Linked DNA regions of Alligator mississippiensis. Each later gene encodes a partner of the first gene's protein in a complex. Links are inferred from orthologs where the notes say so. Each region holds a gene or a part of one and is shown on either strand. Other genes may lie near its edges.

Region 1 (7,500 bases):
TTCCCCTGATTTTTGGTGTGGTAGATACTGTGTTTGTATAAATTCTAGTTTTCCTCTTCAGCTAAGGGTCTCAGAAGCTTATGTGGAGTCTTTGTTACTGGCAAACAAGAAGAAATTATGAATATAGGTACCCATCAGTACAGAAAAGTTATATTAACTAATAAGAGATTTGCCTGACAGTATGGTTACTAAGAATAACTGAACTGATTTGCAAATTGTTGCCTTCTGACAGTTTAACTGCCAGACACTGGAGATTTACATACTGTAACAGGCTCCCATGATTAGCCAAATGCCAAGAAACTGAATAACCAGAAGGAAAATTTGGAGTTTTGCAAATAACTATACATCATCACTGTTCCTGAACTCTGGTTGAGATAAGTTCATTTATTATATAACCACCTAATAGGATTGTCTTTTTGTCTACGTATCTGTTTGCATGCCCCTTGCAGGATGGGATATCAGACCTGTTCGTGTGTGAGACAGAGATCATTTTGTTTTCTAGTGCTCTCATTTTACTAGAGTAGTCAGTTGCAATTCAGTTCAATGATTTTATTCGCGTGACAAGCTAAAAGAGTTACCACCATAACAGGCTCCTGCAGTAAGTGTTGAAAGTTACAATCCCCCCAGAAAGGGCTTGACACTATTAGGCCTCTGAAGCATTTGCCATTATGTTACATTGTAGCAGAGGTCTCTGTTTTTATGCCCTGGCAACCAAAAACTATTTCTGGCCAGACAGGAAGAAGAGTTGAGCTTTCTGTTTCTTGGTTAGCTGGGAGGAAGAAACTGATAGTCCAATCTTCCTCTTCCAGTTGACACACTGATTTTTTTTAAAGCTTCCTCACACTTGCTCCAGAAGTATGAAGGACTATTTTCTTCTGCTCTGTTCCTCCTCCTCCTGCCTCTGGTCACCCCATCCCACTGTTACCTCTTTCTGCCATTTATTGCATGAGAGCTTTTCTCTGGAAAGTCATGTTATTTACTTATTTGGATTTACTATTTCTTTCTCCTTGTATCTCTTCATCCCATCTACTCCACATTTTGAACTCTCACCTGAAAACATGTTTTTTTTTCACTGGTAGATGTTTTGTTTCCTTTCCCCTTTGTTATTAATTTGGATCACTGACTAATTTGGATCAGTATGCAAGTTGCATGAAAGATACTATCAATATAAAACTGCATGAGATATTTCTATGCTTTATAATATCATTAACTTTTACCAAGTACTCACACATGCTTATATGACATTGGATTTTTTTAAAAAGTAATTTGAAGGAATACTTTGAATATAAAATATGGTCAGTGTTTGCTTTAATCCCATGTAGTTCATGAAGGGAATGTGCCTTTCTTGACTGATGTCTAAGATCCTATTCTTAGCTACATTAATGCATTTGTATGTTATGTTAAAACAAGCCACCACAGCATCATTTCTTCTGAGCAGGTCCAGATCATCATCCTCTGTATTAGGTTATGAACCCGTATAGTGACTCTTTAAATAACTCACGTTAACTGATTAGGTAAATGGAAAGCTAGGATTCACAGAAGCAAATGAATAAAGACAGGGGAAAGAAGCAGGAAAAGAAGGAAGGAAACTGGAAAAGAAATTTTGCATATTGCTGTGATATGAAAGGAAGCCATAATATAGAACAATATACCTAAAACAAAGTCAGCCATTTCTTGGTAAAATTGGCTGGAAGTCATGGTAGTGAAACAAAGGCAAAAACAACATACCCACAGGGCTTAAAAAAAAGATATGAAGTTGTTAGAGGTATGAAGCCAAACAGCTAGACCTCTTTACAGAAATGCTCCATGCTCTGTACACTCCCCTTTCACAGGCATCCCCCAAAACAAACTGTATGGACCTAATTCTTCAAGATAGAGTCCAGTAGTTTCCAGCACTCACCAGCTTCCATAATAGTGCCCATGCTTAGCACCTTATGTGACCCAAATTTATCTCTAGTGAGGATCTGGCTGCATTTGTTGAAAACAACGAGAGCCTTTCTGTGTCAAGGAAGCAAAAAAGATTTCTGATCATTACAAAAAATATGATCATTCACTAGGACCAAGAGGTGTTGTCACTCCTTTATTCTACAACCACACCTATGATACTATGTTTTGTTATTTCATACCGTACCTCCAATTCCCCCTCCCATCCTATAAAAAGCTGACTTTGAAAGCCAAGTTCCTATGAGAAAATATTGCCATTTTTGTCAAGAACCTTGTTTCTAGAGCACAGGTAATCATCAACGTGTATCCCAGAGATTCACCTCATTAGTGACCATGAATTGTTTGCCTACTTTAATTGTAACATGAAGACACATGTATGAAAGATGCATAGGGTTGAATCAAAATTTTGGGTTGTTTTCAAGCTGGTGCTACGGGAGTGGAATTAACCAGGCAGATCTTGTGGAAGGCCGGGGCCTAGATCAGGTGGCATACGGTCTGCTTAGAGCAGCTGGTAAAACTTGGCTCAGTTCTTTATTTAAGGCAACTATGATCTGGTGCCAAAGTCCTGGCAGTGTGCCGATACGATAGCATGGGTTGTGCCAGGTCTGGGTGGGTTTGTGTCATTCCCACATGGACTCTCTTCTCTAAGCTGCTCAGATGTGAACCCTAAAGCAGGGGAAAGCTGTTTCTGGATACAGGGACCTTCCTCTTCTGGCTGCCTCTTGATTCATAGGAAAAAAGGACCAGCAGGGGATGGGGGTGGGATACACTGGTGCATTTGCACCCTGCTTTGATGTCTGCTCCACCCAACGTTGAAAACTGCCCACAGGTGGCAGCAACATATCTGTTGAGCAGCAAGGAAGGGGTCGATTGACTTCATGGCTCATTATATTCCACCCAGTCCTTCTAAACTCTCCATTCCACCCGTGTTAACGACCCTCCCTCTTTTTATTGGTCTTTATGTTCCACTGAATAAGCTGACAAGGATCTTTGGGTAAATCTGGTATCTTTTATTAGACCAACTAAATAGTTGGAAACTTTTTTCTTAGCAAGCTTTTGGGTTTAAAAACCCCTTGTCAGTTTTTAAACCCGAAAGCCTCCTAAGAAAAATGTTTCCAACTATTTAGTTGGTCTAATAAAAGATATCAGATTTACTCAAAGACCCCTGTCTGCCTGTGTCCTTAGAGCAGCAAACAGGGCTAAAACCTACACCTCTGAATAAGCTGGTCTTTCTTCTGCAGCACTGCTGCCTGTTAACGCTCTTGGTCATGTCTCTCCTGTTTCACAACCCTGCAGCCTCTTTCTTTAACACTGGCTCACGGCATTAATTCAGGGAAGTACTGGAGGCAGTGTCAAGATGCTCAAGAAGGCTTGATTTTATGAAACTGAAAATTTATAATGACTCCAGGACCGATAAAACAGCCTATTTTTACTGTTTTATTTTCGTCTAGTTTATGGGGTGTTTTTAGATGTATAATATATGGCACAGCGAATTTATATTTGCTTTTGCTGCCATCGTAAATTGAAAACTATCCCTGCAGGCCACGGGCTTATTAGTAAAATTTCTAATCACTTTTTCATGTGATAAAAGTGTGCATTATGTTCAGGGATCCTGGTTTTCTCTGATTTAAAAAAAATCCGCAAGTTTCAGTTAAAAAAAAGTAACCTCAAATCTACATTTTTTTGTGATTTAATAAAGATAGATAGATAGATAGATACAGTAATGGTGTTTCATTTACATCAAGGAAAAATGTGGATATATCTCTATAGATATCTATCTATCTACCTATATATATCTCTATATTGGTGACTGAAGTTTCATTTAAATCACAGAAAAATGTGGATTTGAGGTTACTTTTTTAATTATTTAAATTTAATGACTTAATTTTTAAATTTAAATGAAACACCACTATCTATATATCTATCTAAGTATTAGTGATGTTCCATTTAAATCATGGAAAAAAGTGGATTTGAGGTAACTTTTTTTAATTACTGAAATTTTTTAGTTAATTAAAATGACTTAACTTAATTACTTGACTTAATTAAAATGACTTAATTTTAAAATTTAAATGAAACACCACTATCTGTCTATCCATCTATTAGTGGTGTTTCATTTAAATCATGGAAAAATGTGTATTTGGGGTTCCTTTTTTTAACTGAAAGTTGGGGATTTTTTTGAAAGCAAGAAAACCAGGATCCCTGATTCTGTTACATGTGATGACGACTCACTGGACACCCCCCCCCCCCCAACCCCTCTTTCCAAAACCCTGGCTCCCCCACCCCTGCCTGGCAGCTGCCCCGGTGACCCCAACCCCAGATCACTCAGCCCCGCCCCCTCTGACGACATAGGGAGGGGCGGGGCGATGCCGGTGGCTGAACTGCGCGGGGGCCAGGGAGGTGGGCGGGGCTTGTGTGCCGACCCGCCTGAAGCCACTGGCAGCAGGGGAGGGGGCGTAGCAGAGGTGGGCGGGACTCGCTTGGGCCCCGCCCCCTCCTTATCCGCGCGCGCGGGGCCATGCGGCGGGTGCGTTCCGTTGCCCTTTGCCCGCCCCCCCCTGCGCCGCGCTTAGCCAATCAGGGGGCGCCCTGTTGGCTGCGCCGGGCGGCCGCGGCGGAGCAAGATGGCGGGGGCCGGGCGGGCGCGGGCGTGGGGCAGCCTGTGGCGGCGGCTGCTGCTGGTGCTGCTGGTCTGGGCCGGCGGCACGGGCGCGGTGGGGCCGCACCGCCGCTTCGAGTACAAGTACAGCTTCAAGGGGCCGCACCTGGTGCAGGCGGACGGCGCCGTGCCCTTCTGGGCGCACACGGGCAGTGAGTAGGGGCCCGGCCGGGCAGGGGGGGAAGCCCGCGGGGCTTTGTTCAGTCCTGCCCGCCGCCCCCTAGCCGGACCGGGGCCGGGGCGGCTGCTCTGGCGTGTCCCCAAACCGCTCCCAGCCACCTGCGTTGGGGGGGGGTGTCCGTAAGGGGGCTGAGCACGGTGCAAACAACGGTGGTTATTATCCTTATCTCTGGGGAAAGGGAGCCTGATACTGCAAGTTCGCCAGGCGTCAGGGGACGGCCGGCAGCTCTGGGGCTCAGTAGGGCCGCTGCCGGCAGCTCGTCCCAGCCCAGTGATGATGTGTCACTCGGAGCAGAGCGAAACTTGTGGCCTGGGACCAGCCCTTGAAACGAGTCCCAGAGACAGGGTTTTTTAGAAATCGGGTTAGGCTCATGCCTTGGTTGCGAGAGGGCATGCATTTGCATTGTTTACGGCGTGCTGGTTAGGTAACCTCTCCGTGGTTTGCGGCAGGGTTATGATACGTCTTTATTATACTTCCAGATTGCTGCTTCGCCCATTGGTTGGCTCGGTTTAGAAAACGTGCGGATACGTGCTAGTGGCAGAGCATTGCTCTGTCTCAGGTGCTGCAAATCGCACAGGTGTAGGGCTGCAAGGGACCTCGAGAGGTCACCTAGAGTCCAGCCCCCCACCTGAGGCAGGATCAGCCCTGTCCAAACCACCCTATACAATCCGTAATGGAAATGCCTCCTAAAACTACCCTTAGCCCTGACACAGCACAGACCTAACACCCTAATCTGCCACAGGTAAAGCAGGGGAACCAGAGCAGCCAACGTCCTGCTTCTGTGAAATGTTGTCAGTACATGCTTAAGAGATCCTAGGCAGAAGGTTACCTCCCCTGCTACAGAGGAAGGCAAACCCCCATCATCTGTGCCAGTCTAAACCCCCCCATCATCTGTGCCAGGCCGACCGTGGGGTACAATTCCTGACCCCAGATACAGGGATTGGTCTAACCCAAGACCCTTTGGCCAGGAACCTCCAGCTTATGGTCCTAGCAGGAGCACTGGCGCACCCCAAAGAAGCTGTATATTGACTTTCTGTGAAGGAATTTAATGTAGTTTAATGGGAATATTTGGACATCTTACATATATCTGTGTACTTTTGCTAACTCTATAGACATGGTAAGATGCAGAGAGAGATGACTTTAAGCAGCTCTTTATTAGTGTAAGTTTTTAAATAAATTGGTTGCACATAACTTTTTATTTATTAAATAAATAGAGTATCTAAATGTGCGTTCCAGTAAATCTTCTCTTTAGAACTGTATAACCACCGCACTTAGTGGTCCTAACTGAGATTGGGTTCCCACTGAGTACTTCATGTAATAGCAAGACCAAGTCCAAAAAGTTTAGGGTTTATGTTACCGTGGGCAAGGAGTGCATAAAAGGAAGTAGTGCTTTAGTAGTGGGCACACAAGGTGGGGAAAATAAGTAATCTACCCAAGGTTACGTAGGAACATATGAAAGCAGAAAACTGAATGCTGATCTGCTGCCTTGGAGTCCAGTGCCCCAACCATGAGACCAACCTTCTTCTCATGTTCAGGAACTTTGAATAAGGCACCTGTAAAACATTCAGTAACTTTAGAAAATCCTTCAATGCTTTTAAAAATGGTGAAGTATAGCATATTAATTTTAATATTTAATACTATTTGAAATTGGTTGGCTCAGCAGTGAGAACCATCTACTACGAGGCTAAGGTTAAGTGTTTACAGGTAAAAATCAATTGCTGTGCTTGCTGTTATGTTTAATGCTGGTTTCTTTCCTTTTTCAGATGCCATACCTAGCGCGGATCAGATTCGAATAACTCCGTCACTGAAAAGCCAGAGAGGATCAGTGTGGACAAAAAACAAATCTGTATTTGAAAACTGGGAGGTTGAGGTGACATTTCGAGTGACAGGGAGAGGCCGCATTGGAGCAGATGGACTGGTATATGAATTTGATTTAATTTATACAACAAACTTATTTTCTAAATGTGAATCTTATGACTTGCATTTGATTCTTGTGCACAGGCAATCTGGTTTACTGAAGATCAAGGCCTGGAGGGTCCAGTTTTTGGGGCAGCTGATAACTGGAATGGTGTTGGCATTTTCTTTGACTCTTTTGACAATGATGGAAAGGTTAGTTGGAAACTTCCTCTTACAATAGGGTTGCAAAATGGTCTTACACTTGATGTCTGTTAGTCACACAAAAATATAATAGTTTTGTATTGCTTGTTTGGTTTTTTCCTATATATATTGGTTTAAAAATGACACCCCCCTTTTGTTTCTTAGCTATGTAAAGAAAAAAATGGTTCAAGTTTGAAGGTTGAACCTTGCTTTGCAATTAATCTTCACAGGAAGTAAATTTTTTATGAGGCAAAGGCTTTATTGGGACCCTCTTGCCTTTGGTTGCCTTGTTCTTTACCAGAATTAAATGAGGTGTGGTGTAGTTCAGTGGTTCTCAACCTTTTATGTACCAGGACCCATTCATAAACATCAGTGGCCAGTCCTGAGCCAGTTCCCCTCACTCTCGACCCATTTCCCCCACCACCACCACCCCTCCCCCAACTCGAGGCACCAGCCCACAGTGTGTGGGGCAGGCAGGGTGTGTGTGGGGCATGGGGAGCCCTAAGCAGCCCCTCGCAGGCTGGAACTCTGCCAGCCTACAAGGAAAAAGCCATGGTTTCCAAAGTTTTTTTTTTCTCTTTTAAAAGTGAATCCATTTTTAAAGTTTGTTCACAACCCTTTC
Region 2 (7,798 bases), on another chromosome or scaffold:
GGCAGGTACTATCCCTGTATCAGGAGAGCGGTCTTCCCCAGGTGCAACTAAGGAGACCGCCCCAGCAGTCACAGTGTTTCCCTTGCCAGGCAAGCATAGGACTACGCTCGATCTGAGCCGACAAGAGGCCGAGAAGGAATAGATTGGCATGTTTCCAACCCAAGGTAAGAGACATGTCTGTAAAGATACATATAAACAAAGGTTAGGGTGATTATAACAAGTGAGGCAGTATTTTACCCCCCCCACTCCTTTGTTTTTTTGTTGTTGTTGTTTTTTTTTTTAAATCATCTCTATCCTGTCCTGCTCCCACTCCAGCCTCCCAGAGTATCACCCTGATTCCTTTCCTGCCACACCTGGTTGTTAAAGTAACAAGGGGAGGCTGCCTTGGAGACCTGGTATAAGCCTAGGCACTTTCTCCATCTCAGCATCATTCTCCAGCCCTACATGCCTTAAGACCTAAATTTGTGACCTCCAGCTGCCCCCATAGTCACACCCATGCCTCACAGGTGTCAGTCTAGACTGATGCATCAGCTTGTAGGGGCTTCAGCCCTCTTAGTTTTAGCCTGCTGGTCACTTTGCTGCAAACTGCCAGCCTAGGCCCGTTCCCTCTAGGCTTGGCTTCTGAATCTCAGCCTTATCTGACCCTTGGCCCATCTCACTCAGCTTGGGCCCTTGGCCCTTGTCTCTTTGCTCTAAGCTCCTGGCCCCCAATTCCCCCTTTTCAGGCTTTGACCCTTAGCCCTCTTGGCCTCAGGCCACCTCTACTACCGGTGTAATATGATCCTGGCTCATTTGGCCTTAAGGTGACCACCTTTTCCAAAGTGGAAGGCAGTACACATGCCTGCCTCCTCCCACCCCCCTCCCTACTGCCACTGCCACCACAGCTGGACCAGAGCCGAGCAGAGGCAAGCGGAGCAGGTGCTGGATTTGGGCTGCCAACTGCAGGCTCAGGGCTCCCCACCCTGCTGCCTTTCCCTCAGCAGCAGGGCCACAACTCCATGCCACCACTGTCCCCATTGCTGCCAGGTGGGCAAGGGGTACCTCACCAAGGTGGCACAGCCATTGTGGGCCCCCCGGGGGCAGGGCAGCAAGCCCCAAGCCCCCAGTGAGCAGCCCACATCCACCCCTGCCCCACTCCATCTGTCACTGTGGGGGCCTCAATCTGCACCCCCTCTGATCTCCCATGCCCCCTCTCCCCCACAGATATACCTGCAGGGAGAGGCTCTTCATGCTTCTCAGCTGTATTTTCTGGCCACGTGAATGTGTGGGGGCACACACATGCACATAGCACCCCCCAGTCATTCACCACCTGTCAGCCCTTTGCAGGCTGGCAGCCTTTTCAAAATCCCTGCAGATACTGTGAATCTAGAACAAATGCTGTCCCAGAATCATGCAGCCCAGGACCAAGACTTGAAGTCCTGCCCAGCTAGGGACAGGTGGTCACCCTACTTCGACTCCACTTGCCCATCATGAGCCCCAGCCCCTGGCAGGGCTCAAAAACAGCTTGTACTGCTGAGGCACCACTATGGCTTTAAGCCTCTGTGTGCCACCTACCTCAAGCACCCCACTCTGGCTCAGTTCTAGGTGTGTCCCTTAGGTGCCCCCCCCTGGCCTCATCTGCCCTTTGTAGCCACAACCTGGTCTACCAGCATAAAACCCTAACCCCCAAAATAAGCACTCTAGCTATAACTGTCAGCCAGGAGCTCCTCTGCAGCTCTCCTGTCCTAGAGCTCTTTCCTCAACAGCTCCCAAAGCCAGACTGACTGCTTTAACTCAGGCCCTGGGTTTATATGGCTGGGAGCCATGCCCCATTTTGATCAGGTGCCTCTTGGAGCTCTGCACAGGGCTTTCCCTGTCAATCAAGAGGAAGCCTGCCCTCCTGCAGCCAGGGCCAGCTGAGCCCACTGAGTTCTCCTAAAGGGGCCAGGGCCTCCTAGCTCCCTGCCACCATTTTTTTTCCTTCCCTTCCCTTACTCCCCAGGTAACAGGGTATGAATTCCCTGTTACAGTGACACTAATAGAAGTAAAGAACTCTGAAGATCACCTCTGAAGCAATCAAACCAGCAAGCTCCGGAAACATGTACTGTGTAGGTGAGAAGCCTGACATTTAACACGCACAGTGCATGAAAGGAAAAAAAACACAAAAATACAATCCCTCAGCTGAAATAAGAAAAGCCTCCAAACCAATACCACCCCTCCAATCTCTACCCCAATCCTGCAGCTCCTTGGTGGAGCAGAATCAGATATAACATTCATCAGATTGCACAGGTTATTCAGATCATAACTGGGCTCCCCAGCTTGAGATCCACTTGCTATGATGTGCATGATCACATAGGCCCAAAGCAGTCTGTAAAAGTGGCCACCACCCCTCACATCTCTGGATGGCATGATACCCAATGTGTTATTTCCTGTGGTAGAAGCTGGCACCTGACTTTGTTTAACACAAGGAACCTGGTGCACAGCAACAGTAACCACATGATCTTGATGAGGTGGAGATCTGAGCCTAACAGCAAGGGAAAACCCTAGACCAGAGGTTCCCAACCCCCAGGCCGTGGCCCGGTACCTGGCCGTGAAGGGTTGGCTGCCAGTCTGCAGGAGGGTTGGCTGCCAGAGCAGAAGCCCAGAAGTGGCTGAATATAAAAACGGGTTGGCTGCTTGTCCGCAGTATGCCATTCACCATTGGTCCGCAATTTGCCGGTCCGCAGCATAAAAAGTTTGGGAACCCCTGCTCTAAACGATAGGAGACCTCCATCTGCTGCATCCCTTTTCCATGTTTACAGCTGTAGAGATCCTGACATCATCTCCTGCCTGAGCCACCATTTAGGACTTGGGGTTGGATCACGGTTTGCCTGGAACCTCGCCGCAGGCCTGTTCTCCATTGATGACCTAGCCAGGAGTATGACTCTGGGCAACATAGCTCAGAGGGTCATTGGGACACACGAGCCTCCCCACCACTGCAAGATCTCAGTCCTTGGAGAGGGGTGATGCCGAGCAGCCAGACAGCGAAGAAGTAGAGGTGGCTGGCAAAATAATACCAAGATTTGTGAGTGTTTTTCTACATACCTATAGCTACAGGCACACATATATCAATACCTATCCATGCAAAGATCTATTTATCTGTCTAGCTATATGTCAATAGCTGTACTTTTACAGGCGAAGACACCTATCCATCCGAAGCTTCTGTGGGTGAGCTCCATTTACAGGCATAGAGACCTGTCTCTCTATCCATCTCTCTACATTAGCCACAAGCTTTCCCAGGCTACTGCTCCCTTCATCCATTGCTGGAAATACCATGACCACTACGGTGGTTTTCCTACTGGCAGGGGGAAACCACTTTATTGGCAGGGGGTAATACCCAACCGAGGTAATGCATAGTTAGCCTCCCACATTCACTTCCAGTGGGAAGAATTTGGCTATACACTGACTTTATAGAAGGGGGAGACTCCTCCCTAGCTTGCTCCTGAGGCCGTACAGCTGAAGGCAAGCCAAACTCAGGGGCACCTGAACCCCATGCTTCAGGGCTTAGGCCTGCACCTAGGATGCCTGCCGAATGATTTGGAAGCATCTGAAGCCCCAGGTGCGAGTGAAGGATGCTTGCTGGTAGTAGGACCACATATGGTTCTTGAATGACTCATGGATTTGAAATTGATTTGGCTGATTTCACTTGAAACACAAAAAATTTTCTTTAAAAAAAAAAAAGTCAAGTGCACATACTTATTTGGCAGGAAAAATACCCACAATGGTGACAGGGGAAATACCCTGACCGAGGTAATGCAATTAAAATGGCATTGTGGAGGGTTGTACCTTTGTCTGCTTGCGGACAGGACTCCCTGCGAGAGCCTCAGTTAGCTTCTGACTGCCCAGCTTCCAGTGGTAGGATCTCGGCTAGGCGACAACTATGGAAATGGAGGACTCCTCCTTAGCTTGCTCCTGAGGCCGTACAGCTGAGGGCAAGCCAAACTCAGGGGCATCTGAACCCCATGCTTCAGGGCTTAGGCCTGCACCTAGGATGCCCGCCAGAGGATTTGGAAGCATTTGAAGCCCCCAGGCAGGGGTGGAGGCTAACAGGGCCTTGCTGGTAGTAGGGCCACATATGGTTCTTGAATGACTCACAGATTTGGAATTGATTTAGCTTGGAACATGAAAAACTTTTTTTTATATATATATATATATATATATATATATATATATATATATATATATATATATATATATATGGAAAAAGTCAAGCGCACATTGCTAAAGAATTTTTTTTTTTTTTTTGCAAAAATCTTGGTCTAATAAAAGATGTCATCTCTGCTGAGTCCCGATTGCCATTGCTAAAGGTGGCACACACAGCTGTGCCTCCCTGCTGGCAGGTATTTTTTTTAACAGCTGTCTCAAAAAAAAAAAAAAAAGGTGGTTTCCACTCAAATGGAAATATTTGAAGAGGGGCGGGGGTGGGTGGAAGCTGCGGGGGCTGAGCACCAGGCTGACAGCTCCTCTCCATTGCACGCAGCTGCTGCAGGCTCTGTGCAGACTCAGGCCGGGGTCCTGCAGGGGACTGTGGGCGCCCCTTGCAGCCTTGGGGCCGGGGCTGTAGTCCCGCCCCGCTGCAGGCCGCACCAAGCAGGGCCCAGCGCAGAACCCCCCCACCCAGGACCAGAGCCTCTTGGGCACAACGTCACGCCCAAGCCCCGCCCCGCCCCCTGGTTCCGCAAGGGGCGCGGCTAGCGGCGCCGGGCGCTTGCCACTGCCGAACCTTCAGGGGAGGGGAGGGGCCGCGGGCTGGGGCGATGTGTCCATTCAGGTGCGGTTCTATGCGGAGGTCTAAGTTACTGTGACGTGGCCCGGCCTGGGCGAGGAGAAGCCAATAGGCAGGATGGGGGCAGGCAGCGCGACACGCGCATGCGTCGGGTCAGAGGTGGGGCTGGAGATGGTGGCCGAGCCAGGCCAGATCTAACCACACCTGCTCGGTGCCCGGAGTCCGCGGCAGGAGCAGTGCAGCGGCTGTGCAGCGGTGAGAGCGGCTGGGGGAGGGGGGTTCTACGTCACTGTCCCTCGGCCCCTGCAGTGTCGGTTGGCGGAGCACGTGGGAGGCGGTGGCTCGGCGGGCGGGGCGCGGGGGCAGGTAGGGATCTGTCTGTCTGGCCGCCTGTGTCTGCGTCTCCGTAGGTACTGCGGTGTCGGTCTAGCGGTAGCCACGGATCTGTAGGGACAGGTGGGTACTGTATGTCTGCCTGCCTGTACCTGGTGTGTAAGAGTCCGTCCATCAAGATCCATGCATCCATAGGACTAGGTGGGTCTGTCTGTCCCTCTGCCTCTCTGTCAAGACCTATGTGTCTGTAGGTCTAGGTACATCTGTCCGTCCATCTGCTTCTCAAGCTCCATGGATCCGTAGTTATAAGTGCATCTGTCTGTGTATCGAGATCCACATATCCTTAGGTATAGGTACGTCTGTCTGTCCATCTGTTTGTCTATCGAGAGCTGTCTGTCCACATGTATGTTGTTCCAGGATCTATGTAGCTGTAGATATAGGTGCATCTATCTGTCGAGATCTGTTTATCCATAGGCATAGGTACATCTGTCTGTCTGTCCATCTGCTTTTCAAAATCTGAGTATCCATAGGTATATATATGTCTATGGCTGTCTTTATGTCTATCAAGATCCACATATCCAGAGGTATAGGTATATCTGTCTGTTTGTCTATCAAGATCAATATATCTGTAGGTATGGATATCTGTGTCTGTCCACCTGTCTGTTTTTCCAAGATCTACGTAGCTGTAGATATAGGTGCATCTGTCTGTCAAGACCTACATATCTGTAGGTATAGGTATGCCTGTCTGTCTGTTGAGATCTGTGTATCCATAGGCATAGGTACATCTGTCTGTCCGTCCATCTGTTTTTCAAGATCTGCATATCTATAAGTATAGATATGACTGTCTTTCTGTCTGTCAAGATCCATGTATCTGTAGGTATAGGTACATCTGTCCATTTGTCTATCAAGATCCACATATCCATAGGTATAGATATGTCTACATGTCCGTAGGTATAGATATGTCCATCTGTCCATCTGTTTTTCAAGACCTTCAGATCCATAGGTATAGGTACATCTGTCTGTTTGGCAAGATCTGCGTATCTGTAGGTATAGCTATGTCTGCCTGTCTGTGTCTGTCAATATAGGTACTGATGGATAAATATTTGCATCGCAAGCTTGTGAGCTAGAGCTGACTTCAGCTGCTGTGAAAGGAGGTACAGGGAGCAGCGGGTAAGGGCAGAAAGAGACTATATGAATACGAAGGCAGAAGGGAAAGGGGGAGAGAGACGGGAGTGGGGCAGTCATAGGGAAGCTATACTGGTCCTAACCGGTATAAAGTTCATGCAACTTTGACACATAGATAAGCCCTAGGTCATCTGTTCAGTCTCAGATCGAAATGTGCCATGCAGAAGTTCCCATCAAAGCCGCAAAATGTCCTGCCTCTCTAATACACAACTTGCTTAGTCTAAATGCACCTTGCTAGTGGATCTACTACCGTACACAGTATACCGAGCACTATGAGAGTGGCATCATTTCTTACTTACCCAGAGAAGCTGTCCTAAGGAACGTTGTTTTTTTTGTTGGGGGGGAGGGGGTTGGTTTTAACTTTTCAGTGAACAAGCGTAGTGTTTAAAGTTTCCTAATGAGATTTTTTCTTGAAACACTTGCCTTATGCAAGTGTTTTTCTTGAAACATTTGCATAACCTGTGAATATTTTCACAGGTTATGCAAACTCTGTGTACTGCCTTGGCAGTGGCCCATAGGTTTATCAAGGATACTGGTGGTTCCTTTTTTAGAACATGCTACGTGACCTGCAGCCATAGCCAAAAGTAACATCAACCCTTTTGTCCAACAAATGCTAATGAGAAGCAGGGGACTGTTTCATTTTTGGGGGAGGAGGGTAGGGAAGGGAGAGTGTGTATTACTTTGTACAGGTTTAGGTTGTAGCCATGTTGGTCTAAGGACTTTTCATTCCATCCAGGAAGAGCACACACCAACTGCTGAAACTTCCTTAGCCTGTTGAAGGGTTTTTGAACCCAAAAGCTTGCTTAATAACTATTCTCCAACTATTTGGGTTGGTCTAATAAAAGATATCAAATTCACCCAAGGAACCTTTTCTGCCTATTGCTTTGTACTGCTGTTCTAGGCTTACCTGCTTTGGTAGGTTGTTCCATGCTGCTGTTCACTCTTCTAGCTTTTTCATAATTTGTGTTAATGCTGACTAGCACTTGCTTTGCTCTTGGCTATATTAAATTCCATGATTCTTATTATCTCTATTACAATATTTATCACAAGGGTGATAAACCTACCTTGTGCCTGGGCCTGAATCCTGCCTATGGGTTTCCTCGTGAGCTGGATCTGGACCAGGGTGATAGAAGTGGGACAAGTGGCCATGGGCCAGGGTGTGGTGGTGGTGCACAAGTGGCTGCAGGCCAGGTGGCTTCAGGGCTACTGAGGGCTGTTGCACAGCCCTGTCTCACCGCTGCCACCAATGGTCATGTCCCCTCTTGGCCCTAGGGCCCCAGATTCTGCAGTAGGATGTTAACACTACTTGTCTTGCATTCAAATTCCTTGGCTACCAGTAATTTGGTGGGGTAGGCAGAACTGCTCTTCAAACTCGCTTTCATGCCCATGAAAGTAACTACAATAAAAGTGCATTGAGTGATGAGTTTTTAGTCTCTTGCATATTAGTAGGTGAACTTATTGTTTGGGGTACTTTAATTAATGCCATTTTCATGTTATATGACTGAATAATGCAATTTACAGGAATCATCATCTTAC

The links. Proteins that work in one complex are often made in the same cells at the same time.
Region 2: the proteins of LMAN1 (region 1) and MCFD2 are in contact, whole or in part, in a cryo-EM structure (PDB 8JP5), measured with the Homo sapiens proteins. The link is inferred for Alligator mississippiensis from reciprocal best matches to the Homo sapiens genes LMAN1 and MCFD2. Residues at the interface, in NP_005561.1 of Homo sapiens: His43, Arg44, Arg45, Phe46, Tyr48, Lys49, Ser51, Phe52, Lys53, Pro55, His56, Gln59, Ser60, Asp61, Val64, Pro65, Phe66, Trp67, Lys96, Phe265, Glu273, Lys279, Glu280, Ile281, Glu285, Lys286, Tyr289, Glu292, Phe293, Phe296; in NP_001164977.1 of Homo sapiens: Val59, Ile60, Asn61, Lys62, Gln70, Glu71, Leu74, His75, Phe77, Lys78, Tyr82, Asp83, Asn86, Asp89, Gly90, Leu91, Glu92, Thr95, Thr98, His99, Val100, Leu111, Glu114, Leu117, Ile118, Ile121, Asp122, Leu125, Asp129, Lys130.

What each region holds. Positions count from the first base shown.
Region 1 is NC_081826.1:282,324,092-282,331,591, forward strand, and holds the start of LMAN1 (protein ERGIC-53), read left to right. Parts: upstream 1-4,489; 5' UTR 4,490-4,565; coding exon 4,566-4,752; intron 4,753-6,544; coding exon 6,545-6,699; intron 6,700-6,782; coding exon 6,783-6,890; intron 6,891-7,500. UniProt on the Homo sapiens protein: Mannose-specific lectin. May recognize sugar residues of glycoproteins, glycolipids, or glycosylphosphatidyl inositol anchors and may be involved in the sorting or recycling of proteins, lipids, or both.
Region 2 is NC_081824.1:199,638,608-199,646,405, reverse strand, and holds the start of MCFD2 (multiple coagulation factor deficiency protein 2), read left to right. Parts: upstream 1-4,785; 5' UTR 4,786-4,999; intron 5,000-5,107; exon of another isoform or gene 5,108-5,200; intron 5,201-5,203; exon of another isoform or gene 5,204-5,278; intron 5,279-7,798. UniProt on the Homo sapiens protein: The MCFD2-LMAN1 complex forms a specific cargo receptor for the ER-to-Golgi transport of selected proteins. Plays a role in the secretion of coagulation factors.